Stegostoma tigrinum: one gene and its partner. The protein of the gene in region 2 interacts with the protein of the main gene of each other region in a pairwise test. Links are inferred from orthologs where the notes say so. Each region holds a gene or a part of one and is shown on either strand. Other genes may lie near its edges.

Region 1 (7,888 bases), on a different chromosome or scaffold from region 2:
AATGGTTTCAAAGACTTGGGCCTTATGGAAAAAAGTGAACTTGTAAAATTTATTTGAAATGCCTTTTTGAAGGAGAATTGAAAGGATCAGTTGGATAGAAAAATAAAAATTGCTGCGAAGAGTGATTAAACAAAAATTTGCTAAACATAATTAGGAGCAGATTTGGCAAGGCTCATCTTAAGAGGGAACAGACTTGCAAAGCACATGATGATGGTGGAACACAACGGTTTCAATATCAGAACCAAAAGTACCAAGGAGACTAATGTTCTGGTGAATCTCATATGCTGCAACACCAAGAAAATACTGTGCATGAGTATCTGTAAGCCATCTTCAGCAACTGATTTGAATTTAATCTTGGCTCCATATAACACAAAACCAAGAATATGCAAGACTACAATTCATATTTAGCAAATCAAAATGTCTGAACACTGAACAGTTCAAGGAAAAAGAAAAATCAGGAATTGATGTTCTTAGATACCCAATTACATTTTCAACCTTGCCAGTTATGTTTCCATGATGCTACAATCCAGAATTTTGCAAGACATTTTCTATGAAAGCCCATTTCCACAACTTACTTCCAGATTTGAGAATCATAGCATGTGTTAGAAATTTTCAACTGATATTCTTTGGTAAATAAGCAAAAAGCAGTTGTTAAATATTACCTTACAAAGTATCAGTGAAATAACATATATAATGGCAACTGTGATATTAAAGAAGGAGCCCACAATGGCCAAGATGCCATGAATAGCTGAAACAGTTAAAATTTTCAGGTGCGCCAGAGTTCTAACAAAAATCGAATGTCCCTTTATTGTAGAGCAATCAGCAAAGCAAGCAGAATAAACTATGCAGCCAATTCAAGCCAATGGGAGGAAGGGCAGAAAAGGCTTGTAAGGCTAGCGTTTGGCATCAGAGTTTTGGCAAAGACGTGAACATTTCAGTATCAAAAAATGTGAAGTGAGCTAATTTAACAGAAAGACAAGAATGGTTTACAATTTGGTTTACGATTGACTCTACTGCCTTATCGAGTAGTGGTGGGAGATTCAACCGGACCTTTCAATAGAGTTGGACAAACATCTGAAGCAAAATACATTCTAATAAAGGAAAAGGCTAGGGCACAGGACAGCCCAAGTTGCTCTTACACAGGCATGACAATTCTACAGTTTACTCACAGCAAAATTGCATGAATATTAATACATTAACATTAAGAATTTTTAATATACTTATTGAGAGATGAATAATGGCCAGGACACTGAACACTGCGCTTTTCAAGTATAATAATAGTGGGCACTTCAACGTCCATCTGACAAGTCAGATCGAAATTTCAATTAATGTCTCATGACAGCTGGCCACCCAGCACACCCTCAAGGCCAGCCCACTGACAGTTCAGCATTCCCCCAAATGAGTTCAGCTGACTGGATGCCTGGACTGCAATGTACAATAACATAAAAGACACAGGTTCAACTCCTGCTACTCACAACGTAACCTTCTCTACATCGGAAAAACCAAACTCAGACTGCATGACCACTTCGCAGAACACCTACCATCTGTCCTTAAAAATGCCTGCAAGCTTCCAGTTGCCTGTCACCATTGTCCTCCTTGGTCAACATTTCAGTCTTAGGCTTGCTGCAGGACATTGACAAGACTTGAAGGACAGTATCTCATTTTCCATTTGGGAACTGAGTAGTCTTTAGGATTTAATATCAAATTCAATAGTGTTGGGTAAAAAGGCTAAAGAACTGCAGATGCTATAAATCAGGATCAGAAACAAAGTTGCTGGAACAGCCCAGCAGGTCTGGCAGCAGCTGTGAAGGAAGAAAAAGTGTTAACATTTCAGGTCCCATGACCCTTCCTCAGAACACCGACCCAAAGTTCTGAGGAAGGGTCACAGGACCCAAAACATTAATTGTTTTTTTCTTTCATAGATGCTACCAGGCCTGCTGAGGTGTTCCAGTAACTTTGTTTTTGTATCAATAATGTTGGGTCTGAACACCTGCCTCTATGTCACTTACCCACTCCCACACTCTGGTCCCTGACTCAACATTGCCTGCTTTCAGCACAGCCAACCCTTTATCACCTACTTATTGTCTCCATTATCAGCTTTTCTTCTTCCCTGGCTTACTATTAGCCATCCTTTATAATGTGACTAGGTTTCTCAGGCTCTGAGCCCTCCGTCAATCCATCCGTTTACTCTTTCTTCCTCTTTCCCTACCCCCTTCACCAACACTGTCATCATCATAAACTGGACATCTTCCTGGCTGTTATCAACTCAGAGAATGGGTCATTAGACTCAAATGTCACCTCTGCTTTTTTTCTCCACAGACACTGCCAGACCTTCTGTTTCTGCAACAATTACAATTTTGTTTCACGTCTTCAAGGTCCACAGGTCTTTGTTTTATTCAATTCCTGGCTGAGGTTACGGTGAAGGTCCTACCTTCTAATCAATGTCCCCTTGCCCGAGGCGCGGTTGACCCTCAGGTTAAACTCGAAGCCAGTCGTGTCTCTCTCTCTCTCTTATGATAAAACAGCCCCATGGTCCTCTGGGACTATGGCGACCTTTACCAGTCGTATCAGCCTGGACTGTGGGGCCCAATCTATCGAGTCCACGGTCTCAGACTCGGTCTTAGGGGTAAGCGGAGGTCAGTGTTAATCACTGAGCTACGGCTCCCCTTTGGAACAAGATAGTCCATAGCGCAATTAGGCAAACCAGAACGGACAGACCAGGATAATAAAGTATGAAGCTGGATGAACACAACAAGCCAAGCAGCATCTCAGGAGCACAAAAGCTGACGTTTCGGACAGACCAGGTTCCCAAAAAGAGTCATCTCGCACTCGAACCGTTAATTTTGTTGCTGTCCCTGCAAATGCCACATAACCCTGAGTTTCTCCGAATCTATTTCACTAAGACCGGGCCCGGGTTTCACCAACTAATACAGAAGGGAGACTGTAAGGACAACTGACTACCTAGAAGGAAAACCTAATTCGCTGTGAGCAGTCACCAAAGCAGAACGTATACGAGACTTTCCTCACCTGTCACGTATTGGAAAAGCTCAGAGTCGATATCGGGAAACTCGTGCCGGATGATTTCTACATAAGTCGCCATGTTCCCTCCGCCAGCCGGCCGGCTCGTCATCACCGCGCCTGCGCAATGGTGCTGACTCGCGATGTCTGCCGGAACTTGTAGTTCTGGGGCAGAGGGTCAACGTGAGGCCGTCAAGGCCAGTGGACTTCAGCCCCCAGGAGACAATGCGTGGGGCACGTAACCCCAAGCCTGGTGGGTGATTGAGGTGGTGGGAATGCTGTGATTGACAGACCTGGTTGTGCCGCTGGGACAGTGCAAGGCCCGTGGCAGCAGACTGATCAAATGTTTACTGCTCTCATTAGACAAAAGCTGATTCTGTTTACAGTGAATTTCTGTCACTTTCCATCAAGATGAATAGCTTACTTTCGGTTCTTCATCCTTCATTTGAGGGGAAAAAAATCTGGGACATGGAACTCATTCAATTCTGTGCCTAGAGTGGCAGAATCTTTGAATCTTGAAAGGTGCCAATGAGGTAAGATTGCTGTTTCTGCCTGTTAAAAGGCCTGGGCAGTTGTGAAGAAATCATATCAGCCTCAAAAAGTTAACCCTGTTTCTCTCTCCACAGCTGTTGCCAGACCTGCTGAGTGTCTCCAACAGTTCCTGCATCAGCAGTACTTTGTTGTCAGTTTGGTTAGTTTCATTGCAAGTTGGGTTTGGGATTATCACCTTTGTCAATTGTGAGATCTTGTTGGGCACCAGTTGACTGCTGCATTGATTTCTTGCATTATCACTGTGACTGTACAATTGATTGACCTAAAGGGCAGATTTTCCACTCATTTCTTCATGGACTCTTGTATTTTCCTCTTCAGTTTTTGTGGAAGCCTCGTATTTTCAATTTCACAGAGTAATGTGACATAGTGTGTGTTGGAAAGGTCGGGGGGAGGGGGTGTTCAAGGTGTTGGGGAAGAAATACAGCAGGTTTCCCTCTGCCTCCCTCAGACCTGTTTAGACCATTGATATGAGCAGAATTATGCTAAAGATCAGATATTGACAAGTCCTATCAGTAACTATACGATATAGGAGCTGAAGAATTGGGAGCCAGAGTACGCCATGCAGTCTCTTCAGACTGCTTACCATTTAATAAAATCACAGTCGATGTTCAATTTCAACTCCAGTTTCCTTCTCTATACCTCAATACCCCGGATTTCTTTTTTTTCTTTTGAAAATATTTCAGTGACCAAGGACTCACTGCTCTCTGGTTTAGATTATTCACGGATTCACAAACTTCTCCATCTGAAATGATTGATTACACATTATGAAACTATGTCCTGTTTGTAAAGACTCTCCAGTTAGGGGGAAATCTCCTCTCAGCATTGACCCTGTCAAGTCGGTTCAGATGACGTCCTTTTGTTCTCATGTCCTGAGAATATGAATCTGTTTATTCAATCTCTCCTCATAGACTGTCCTTTTATCCCAGGAATCAACTAGTGAGCCTTTGTTGCACTCCCTCTAAGGCAGCTACATCTTTCCTAAAGAATGTAGACCAAAGCTATACACACTACACCAGGTGTGAGCTCTGCACGATTGCCAAAAGTCATTGTTGTTCTTAAACCCTGAACTCATTTCAGTACTCTGACAGAGAATGGACTTTGTGGCTTTGTTTTTCTGGTGGTGAAGACATATGGGGGAGTGATCTGGAGGTTTCCTTTTCTTTTGGCTGTTTTTCAAACCTGTCTTTTGTATAGTAAGATGGTGTGGGAGAATGGTGACTTTGAACACTTTTTACTATGCTCCTGTATTCCAGTGCTCAAGTACATGTGACAATAAAATCTAAGTCCATATTAGGCCATTCAGCTCATTGAGTTTGCTCCACCATTTGTTCATGGCTAATAGGTTTGTCAACCCTATTTTCCTCTTTTGTCTCCTTGAACCCCTTATTAATCTGGAACTTGAATCTCCTTCTTAAAGACATTCAAGGACTTGGCCTCCATAGCCTTCTCCGGCAATGAGTTCATTGATTAATCATCTTGTTGGCTGAAGAAATTCTTCATCATCTTGGTTCTAAAGGGTTCTAAATTGGATGAGTGAATCTAGCTGTGTTTCTCTTATAATACTAAGTGCAAGTAAATGTCTGTGCAATGGCCTCAGTATACTTGTTCGTTTTGCTCAATCCACTAGAAGTGTTAGAATAAATTATTAATGTGGATTTTGCTAGTTCAGCCAGTAACGAGAAAAGCTCGTAGAATATTATCATTTGTTGCAAGATTGCGTTTCAGTTATGCAGGGCATTGGTGAGACCACATCTGGAGGACTGTACAGTTTTGATCACCTCAAAAAGAATAATGTACATGAGTTGGAGGCTGTTCAGATAAGGTTTACTAGACTAATACCTGGATTGGGTGCTTTGTCTTGAGGGGAAAAGTTAGATAAGCTAGGTCTTGTATCTTGTAGCAGAGTTAAGAGGTTACATCTTTGAAACATCTGAAATCCTGAGAGATCTTCTGAAAAGTGGATGTGGAGAGGATGTTTTGTGGGAGAATCTATAACTATGGGTCACTGTTCAAAAATCACAGTACCTCTGAGAGTCACAAATCTTTGGAATTCTTCCTGAAAATGTTGTGATAGCAGAGATTTTTTTTAAGGCAGATGGGTATGTTCTTGTTAAGTAAGGCAAGGAAGGGGGCCAGTGGTGGAGGATCAGCTGGAATGTGGATTTCAGGTTGCTATCAGATCAGCCATGATCCTATTGATGGCAGAACAGGCTCAAGATACTGAAAGCTACTCCTGCTTCTAGTGTTTGCAAACAGGGATTTGACCACAAGGAGGGAGCAGATACTTTCTAACTGACCTGTTAATAGATTCTATTACACACCTCTGGATTAGGTGGGACTTAAACCAGGCCTCCTGGCCTATGGATGATACCAATTAACAGAGGGAGCAAGTTTTGTTTTCAAAACAGCCTGCCCACAGATGTTATTACATGTCCAGAGCAAGTAGAACCTGAACCCAGGTTTTCTGGTTCAAAGGCACCACAACAGTTCCCAAGGGGAGCAAGTCTATGTTCTTTCTCCACTACCAGGAAGAACACTCACCTGGCCAATTGAATATTTACAATCAAAGCCTGTTAAGGGCAATGTTAACATCAAAAAGTGAGAGGAAGAGGGACCAAGCAATTTTTAATCAACATGTTCAGACACATCTGGTGCAAGTGGAATTTGAGCCTGTGTCTCCTTGCTCAGAGGAAGGGTTATTGCGCCGCAAGAGCCCCAAAGAGGGAGCAAGTACTCAGGGAGTGAAGATTTATTATAGTTGTGGCTGATTTTGTTTATACCTCATGTTCATTCACACACTTTGCCATAGAAGTTGTTAGATAACAATGAGGAACATGGGCCTTTCAGGAACCTGGTAATAGTTGCTGATGTTTATTTTGCTTATTTTGCCCAGCAATGGAGGAGTTCAAATCGTTTTATCATGCAGGATGGAGACTGCTCTAATTTGTGGAAAATAATGTGCTGTTCAGACTATGTTAACCCACTTTTGTCTTCCAAGTCCCTGAAAACACTTCTCCGGACTCTGGCCTCTTCAACATACCATACTGATCTTGATATAACTTTGTCACCTATACCTTCATGTTGTCGGATTTTCTTCTGGAATTCCTTCCCCAAACTTAATCTTCCTTATTCTTTCCACAGTACTCCGTGGTTAGCACTGCTGCCTCACAGCACCAGGAACCAGGCCTCAATTCCACCCCTGGGCGACTACCTATGTGGAGTTTGCACATTCTCCCCGTGTCTGCGAGGTTTCCTCCGGGTGCTCTGCTTTCCTTCCATTGTCCAAAGATTTGTAGACTAGGTGGATTGGCCATGCTAAAGTGCTGAGGGATGTGTAGATTAGGTGGCTTATAGGGGTATGGGTCTGGTTGGGATGCTCTGAGGGGTGGTGTGGACTTGTTGGGCCGAAGGACCTGTTTCCACACTATAGGGATTCTATGATCCTATGATTCCTTTAAGATCTCTTTAAAGTCAACTGTTTGAACAATCTTCCTAATGTTTCCTCTGGCTCGATGTTAATTTCTGTAAGTTAAATTCCCTCGAAGTAATTAAAATGCAAGAGATAAAAATCATGTTGCTCTTTGTTAAATATGCATTTAAAACATTATCGTTAGTGTTCTTAAATTTGGCAGTTCAGCTGCGTCTATCAGGATGTCATTCCTTTGTTAGTATTTCCAGTTACTATCTCCTCTGGACCTGAATCTGTAATAGTCTTGAGCAACATGGTCATGCAGAGTTTCAATGTTGCATTCTGTCTTCATGCTGCTGACTCCCCCTCATTTATTAGTTTCCCATTCACTAACTATAGATTTGTACAGCTCAGGAGGCCAATTGGCTTATTGTGTCTGCACTAGTTCTTTGAAAGAACTAGCCAAGAATCCCATTCCCCTTACTCTTTCCACATTGCCCTGCAATTATATTTTATTTCCAAGAATTCTTCCATTTGTGACAGGAGAAATGTACTGAGAATCAAGACCTACTACCCTAAGAAGGTCTTTTCGAAACTAGACCGGAATGAACCGTAGATGTGCTGAGTTCGGGCCACTTGGAAAGAAACATCCTTTAGCTAAACATACTTAAAAGTTTTTTTTTTCAAAAGGCCTAAAGGGGTCTATGGTGGTTCTAAGTGTAAACGTAGGTCTTTTTGTGATTCTTTTGTCCCTGATTCTGTATACACGTCACAACTGAGAATAGTTGTGTGCAGCCATTGCAGGAGGAAATAACCATTCTGAATTATTTAACAGACTCATTGATCAAAGAAACAGATTTTGAATCTTGTAAGAGTGTTTGGGACTCATTAAGTTCCGCCAACAATGTT
Region 2 (7,478 bases):
GCCACTTACCATCCTGCTTGGAAATATTTCATTGCACCTTCTTGTAACTATTCGGCAAATCTGTCGCCTTAGTTAACAAAATGAGTTATGACAGAAAACTGTAGCCTTAATTAACAAAATGAGTTATGGCAGGTTCTGTGGTGACATGGGAGAAGCATTGAGATGACATTAAGAACACCAGATATATTCTTATTCTGTTGCTACATTAAAAATACTTTACAGTGGGTCAATACCCTGCACCTCCCTTCTTAAAAGATGGTGTCCTCTATAAGGTCTGCAACAGTCCAGGGTGGTAGTTTACGATCTCCTTCTCAAGGACAATTAGTGACAGGTACTTAGTTAGCATCAGGCACATTGCCTTGGACATCCACATCCCATGAATGAATAATCAATAGAAAGGAAGAGCATCTAATTCCTTTTCAAAGAGAAGATATTGGCATTTACTCAGTGGAGATGGAAGAAAAAGGGTGTACTGTATATGCATTTCAAAAAGCTACAATATGCTGAAATGAATACTCTTAATTTGCAAAGTGTGAGAACTCCAATCTCTAGTTTCTCATAAAAAACAATAACCTTTCTGACCAAATTTCAGCTACCTTTTAATTCTTTTGAAAGCAAGAATTAATTGTTCATTTCTATTGTATAATCTATTGAATGCATTATTTCCAGTTTATCCAAATGAGTGTACGCAGGCACTGAATCAATAGTCACCACTTATTAAGTTAAAAACACTTCACACGTAGTATTGTAAGAGATCTGTCATTTGATAATACATAAACAGATTTCAAATAATTTATAATGCAGTTTGGACTACTTAATAATTTAAAGCAAGCATATATTGACAAATAAATACTGCAAGATCACTCAACAATGTGTCCTTACAATTAGACGCAAAATAACAATTCAAAATAAAAGGACCAAAAATGGTTTAAATAGTTATTAACTCATTACATTGAGTTTAAAAGAAATAGTACAGCTTTTTTGGAGCAAATGCAAATATACTATGCAACAAGGAGAACGAACTATCGTTTTAATACTGCCACCCACGTGCAGGGCAAAGCTAGAATTGCAGTATTTGTTTTCCTGCTCATGTTTAGGCTGTCTACACATTAGTAACAATCAGTGTTGCAAAAGGAAACTTAAAACTTTGATTTTTTTTCTCCAGGCCATAATGTAAAGCTATAAAAGTCACAATTTATCAAGGTACACATGAAAATATAAACAGGAACTCTCAAGTAAACAATTCTCGACACCTGTGAATATTCTCACATGTATAATGCCATTCAACACAAGTACTCTTCTTCAGATAAAGAGAGAAGGGAAAACATGTCGGAGAAATGCTACATTAAAAACATGCTTTTGATTCGTGTAAGGAGAATAACATACTTGTGGTATTTTCAGTTTGGCACGTCTGTATTATTCAGTTTGGCCTAAACAAGGAGGAAGTTATTTAATACTTGCACAATTTGGGATTTTTTGCTCTGTTCTACTCAAAAAATAAATGTTGTAAATCCTACCTCAAGTCTTCCAGTAAATCACATTCCCCCTGATGCTTCGCCTGAAGTTTAGTCATTTGCTCAGCATGGATGTTTTTCAGTTCTTGAGTAACTTTCACCTTTGATAAAGAAGAAATATACCATTGGCCGAAAAGATAATGAATGTGTACAGATAAAATATGATTTCTAACCAAACCCACCAGTTTACTCAAGAGAACACGCGAAGTAAGTACAAAAAAGTCGGAGATAACAAGATGTAGAGTTGGATAAACACAGCAGGCCAAGCAGTTTCTGAAGATTTCTGAAGAAGGGTCTAGGCCCGAAAGGTCAGCTTTTCTGCTCGGCCTGCTGTGTTCATCCAGTTCTACACCTTGTTATCTCAGATTCTCCAACATCTGCAGTTCCTACTATTTCTGAAGCAAAAAAAAGTCGGAATGTTTTTACAGTCCTGCGCCAATTTGAGTTAATTTCTCCAGAAACAGCACAAACTCTACGTCTGAGACAGCATACATTGTCACAAATCATGTAAATAGCGCGAAACATTTCATGTAGAGAATTTAAAGCAGTAATAATTGTCAATTTTAATCAATTTCAGACAATTCGTGAAATTACAGTCAAAAAAGTCACTAATTAAAAGATATTCATTCTACCCACTTCCCATAAAGCGTCATTCCTTGAAATGTCGACTCCGATTTCAAGCAATTACAAGAACCAAAATCGTGTACATTTTGGTTTTTAACTTCGACGTTTACATGATGAAGCGCACTAAGGAGAAACATTTTAACACAAAAAAATTAAGCCAGAGACTCCAGAGGGGAAAAAACAAAAACATCTCTCCCACCTTTCACATGTAAATATCTTAACAATCCCACCGATTCCGAACTCAATCACACAACAGCATATTTGCCATTCCGGCACAAATTGTAGAGAAAACAAAATCATGTTCACGAAAAAGATCTATAAATATCTGACCACAGTAACCCAAAGATAAACAAATTGGCACGTCACTGAAATCAAGGCATAAACGGGAAGGGGGGAGGAAGAAATTCCTTTTTAAAGCTGAACACTGGGAACATTGTATTTCCACCATCCCCCCCCGCCCCCGAACCTCCTTCGAATACGACATTTCAGCACACACACACATAGAGTCAGCGAATAAAGATGTCGTTTTTGGAACTCACCTTTCTCGGAGGAGGCTGCATGTCGATGAGCTGACAGGAATCATAAATCCGACGTTGGGAGGATGGAAAGGAAAAAGAAAACCGACAAGGAGATAAATAGAAAGCTGCCTTGCCACCCGCCGATGTAGAGAAGGAATGAGTGGTTTGAGAAGAGAGAAACAAAAAAAAGCAAACTCCGGTACGATCGGGGTCTGCTCTTTTTCTGAGAGACGGGGGCGGTGAGAGAAAGACACAGATCCGTGTCTTTGCTGAGAGTCAATGGGACACCGCCATTATATCTACCTCCGTTACACAACCAACACTCCAGTGAACAGATTCAGTGTGAGAGAGAGACAGACAGGAAAAAAATACCGGAGAAGGCGAGGAGGTCGGGTCGGGGGGGGAGGCAAGGAGGCGGTGGAACATTAACCACCAAACACACACCGCTTCAGGGATCCGCCACTCAATAGCGACTTACAGCGGCGGCTGTCGGAACCGAAGCGGCAAGAACACGAAGGAGAAGGGGAGGGGGAGGGGGGAGGAGGAGGAAGAAGAAAATGTCTTCGTGTCATTGGCGTTGAGAGCTCGAGCGGGGCCCCCGTCGGTGACGCCAGGCCTCAGCCGTCGCCAGGGGCAACCCCTGGGAGGGGACAAAAGAAAGCAATCGAGCTGGGTCATATCGATGGCTCGGCTCCATTGGATTGATCGGTTAGACGCTCACAATCACGCAGAGGCCGCTCTGATGAGCAAGCCTGTTGAGGTACAACCGGTGAATTACTGCCTCAATGTGATACAGAATAGGTGTGTGAACAAGAATGTACTTGCATAGCCCTTTTCATCATCAGCAAACGTCTCAAAGCACGTGACAGCCATCAGTGTCTTTTGGAGGAAACAGGGCAGTCAGTTAACACACTGTTAGCGAGGTAATAATGATAAGGTAATTATTTTAAAAATAATGTTGATTGAGAAATAAGCATTACTCAGGACTCTGCGTTAAAGTCGCTGCTGTTCAAAATAGGGCAGTGAGACATTTTACGTTCATGCCCAACAGATTAAAACGGTGGATAAGGTTTCTCATCTCATCCCAAAGACAGTACCTCTGACAGGCAGTCGGCAAGTCTTCAATTCCTCGATTGAAGAATGCCTACGAAGGTTCGACAGTTTTAGCTGAGGTCTTTGTGTGACTGAAGTGGCTAATTGTTGACCCACGGTACTTTGAACATATTAAGCAGGAGATCGCATGAGATAGTAGGTCCCAAACCACAGGATTTACTTCCCTTTCTGTTCCGAACCTGTGGCAACCCTGCCTCATCATTAAGATGTTTCAACTCAAAACTTGGTGTCATTTGGCGGAAAAATCGCAATTGTGAACAGTTTGTAGTAGGCTTCTGTCTGATAATTGTGAATGATGTCAAGCTTCAAAGACAGTTTCAGATTCCTCCCCTGGAATGCCAGACGTTTAAGAGTTGAGGAAACAGACATTGATGAAGGCGAGATAATAAAATGTGAGGCTGGATGAACACAGCAGGCCAAGCAGCATCTCAGGGTCTAGGCCCGAAACGTCAGCTTTTGTGCTCCTGAGATGCTGCTTGGCCTGCTGTGTTCATCCAGCCTCACATTTTATTATCTTGGAATCTCCAGCATCTGCAGTTCCCATTATCATTGATGAAGGCGATGCTTTTCCAGCCATTGGATGTAGTGTCCCGTTCATTACAGTTGACTTTTGAAGTTTTGCTGAATGCTAATCGGGCTGGCTTCAAGAAGGACACTTTCTATTTTGGAACACATGCCAGTCTGACTCAAAATGTTAATTCCTGTTTGACTCTCTACAGAGCTGCCAGACCTGTTGAATTTTTCCAGCACTTTCTGTTTTTGTTTCAGTTTTCTAGCATCCATAGTTCTTTGCTCACATACTAACATTGTTTAACTGACCTCCCAGGAAATCAGGAGAATGTGGAGAGTCACTACTGGTGGAATTGTTCTTTTGTATCGTTAATACTGCAGAACAAGGGTGTGACAGCAACTGCTTGATAGACTGGAACTGTTGCTGAGTTGTGGAGAATTTGTTGTCATATCCTCATTGACTTAGTTGTATCTCAGTTTTCACACATCAGGGGAAATACTAAGTGAGTAGCCTCATGTAGAACATAAACACCACTGTAAACCTATGTGACCGAATGGCCTGTTATGAAATTGCAAATTGTTTGTAAAATTCAAAGGTTTCTTCAGTGTTGAAAACCTTAAGTGAGAATAAGTAATCTTACAAATTGGTAATATTAACAATTGATTCTTTTATTAAAGAAGCAAAATTTCAAGATTGCATATTAAGTCCACCACCAATAGGATTGACATATCAATCTTTTTGATTCAAGCTGTAAGATACTTTGAAGTCTGGATCTGGGAGCTATTTGGCTATCGTGGGAATGGAGCCATTACTAATTCAAACTTCAGGCAGCAGATAATTTTGTGCATTTTCTGTTAGTTGGATAACATTCAGATTATTAAAGTTACTGAAAGTGAAACCAGTTCTAGTACATTCATTAGAATCTAGACAGCAATCAACAAACTTTAACGTAAATGAACAAGGAACTTTGAGATTTTTTGTGTTGGTCAATTTTAATCACGGTTAAAGTCATACAGCATTGAAACAGACACTTTGGTCCAACTAGTCGATGCTGACCATGTTCTCAAACTAAACTATATCCACCTGCCTGCATTTGGCCCATATCCCATGAAACCTTTCCTATTCATGCTCTTATCAAATGTCTTTTAAATGTTGTAACTGTACCTGCGTCCACCATTTTCAGGGACAGTTCATTCCACACAGTAAGCACTGTTTGTGTAAAACAGGTTGTCCCTCATGTCCTTTTCAAATCTTTCTCCTCTCACCTTAAAAATATGCCCCATGTTTTGAACTCATCCACCTTAGGGAAAAGACATTTACTATTCATATTATCTATGCCTCTCATGATTTTATAAACTTCTGTAAGGTTATCGCTCAACCTCTTATGTTCTAGTGAAAGAAGTCCCAGCCTATTCAGCCTAGTTTTATAAGTGAAATCCTCCATTCCAAGCAACATCCCGGTCAATCTTTTCTGAACTCTCTCCAGTTTAATAATAACCTTCCTACATCAGGACAACCAGAACTGCATATAGTACTCTGGAAGAGGCCTCACCAATGTCCTGTCCAACTTCAACATAACATCCCAACTCCTATGTTCGAAGGTCTGAGCAATGAGGGCAAGCATGTTAGCATGTTAGCAAATTTCAAAATATTATATGCCTGAAACCCTAAGCCTCTCTGTTTGACAACACTACCAGGGTCCTCCCATTAATTGTATAAATTCTATCCTTCTTTGTTTTACCAAAATGCAACACCTCACATTTATCACATTAGAGTACCCATTGATACATATGACTGTTCTTGGATCACTCTGAAAAATAGATACAGCTCCATATGTTTAAATTGGTCTACAAACTACCATCTCTCTTGTTTGATTACATCAGTCATAAAACTTAACACTTACATTTCCTCGTTGAGAACTATTGGACAGATATTGACCAGAAAAGCAGACCACTGGCTCACGTGGACAGCCAGAAGGACTTTACCTTCAATTTTATGGGCAGCAGCCAATTAAGTGGTTGCTGTTGGGTTTGGCATCTAGTTCAGGACAGCTGCCCAGCACTGTGCTCTATAAGTCCAATCAGCAGGCCTGTAGCTCAACAACCTCAGTGCCAATAGGCGGCTGCTGAGACAGGCTGAAGATGTGCTGAATTCAGTAGAAGGTAAAAAAATAATTCAGAGGCTCATTGCTGGAGACAAACCCTGCCCTGGGAAATTGTGGAGACTATCTTCCTCACAACTACATCTTAGGTTAAAAAACAATCTCCTCCCTAATCTGGCTGCTGCTGGGGAAGTTATCTTCATTTATCTGGTGGACTCCCCACTCATTGAAAGAAAGACACGTGTTAGCATTTTAAAAGGTCTTTGTATGTTCAAATTGCACTGTTGGCATAGAGAACACGAATGGCATTTTGTAATTCATTCAAAGATTGCAGACATCACTGGCCGGGTCAACATTTGTGGTCCATTTCTAATTGCACTTGAGATTCAAAGTAAATGCTGACCTAGTCAGTGCTACAGTCCATGAATGAATTTAAAAAATGAAATGGCATGGAAAATGTGGTAATGGTGGATGGGGGTTAGGTGGTGGTGTGAGGCTTAGAGGGCTCGTCTTTTTATTTTCTCTTACAAGTCCTAAAATATGGGCTTTTTGCACAGCCTACCTTGGCACTTGGCAGCCCCTATGGCTGCCTCTGTGTTCTTGCCTGCAGTAGCAAGCCCACCTTTCATCAATATTAACACTCCCCCCTCCTCTACACAATTCCTAAAAATGCAATGATATGGGGCACTTTCTCCCAAACTGGGATTGAGGAGTTAGTCTGATGAAGGGTCTAGGCCCGAAACGTCAGCTTTTGTGCTCCTGAGATGCTGCTGGGCCTGCTGTGTTCATCCAGCCTCACATTTTATTATTGAGGAGTTAGTCGCTGCTTTTAACCTGAGAGTGGGAATTTGGCCTTTACAGACAATATTTGAAACAGGAACTACGGCCTGCAGAATTAATACATTTTCAAATTCCTGGGTTCTCCTAAATTACTCAGGGAACATGGCCAGGTTTGGTAGTCAGTACCCACGTATCAAGTGCCAAGTTCAATGTTTGTGAGTGACAATGTGTTAATTGCTTTTTTTTTGTGGAAAGAAAGCATCAGTTAGAAATAGCTTTTGTTGGGTGACATACTTCCCTTAATTTCAGGGCATCTG

What was found.
Region 1: the proteins of F-BAR and double SH3 domains protein 2-like (region 2) and abcf3 interact in binary tests that used the Homo sapiens proteins (3 or more experiments, as listed by UniProt). The two-hybrid records come from large-scale screens. The link is inferred for Stegostoma tigrinum from reciprocal best matches to the Homo sapiens genes FCHSD2 and ABCF3.

The regions. Positions count from the first base shown.
Region 1 is NC_081367.1:55,794,651-55,802,538, reverse strand, and holds the start of abcf3 (ATP-binding cassette sub-family F member 3), read right to left. Parts: upstream 3,134-7,888; 5' UTR 3,131-3,133; coding exon 3,028-3,130; intron 1-3,027.
Region 2 is NC_081359.1:90,513,486-90,520,963, reverse strand, and holds the start of F-BAR and double SH3 domains protein 2-like, read right to left. Parts: upstream 3,194-7,478; 5' UTR 2,699-3,193; coding exon 2,678-2,698; intron 2,440-2,677; exon of another isoform or gene 2,338-2,439; intron 1,616-2,337; coding exon 1,518-1,615; intron 1-1,517. UniProt on the Homo sapiens protein: Adapter protein that plays a role in endocytosis via clathrin-coated pits. Contributes to the internalization of cell surface receptors, such as integrin ITGB1 and transferrin receptor.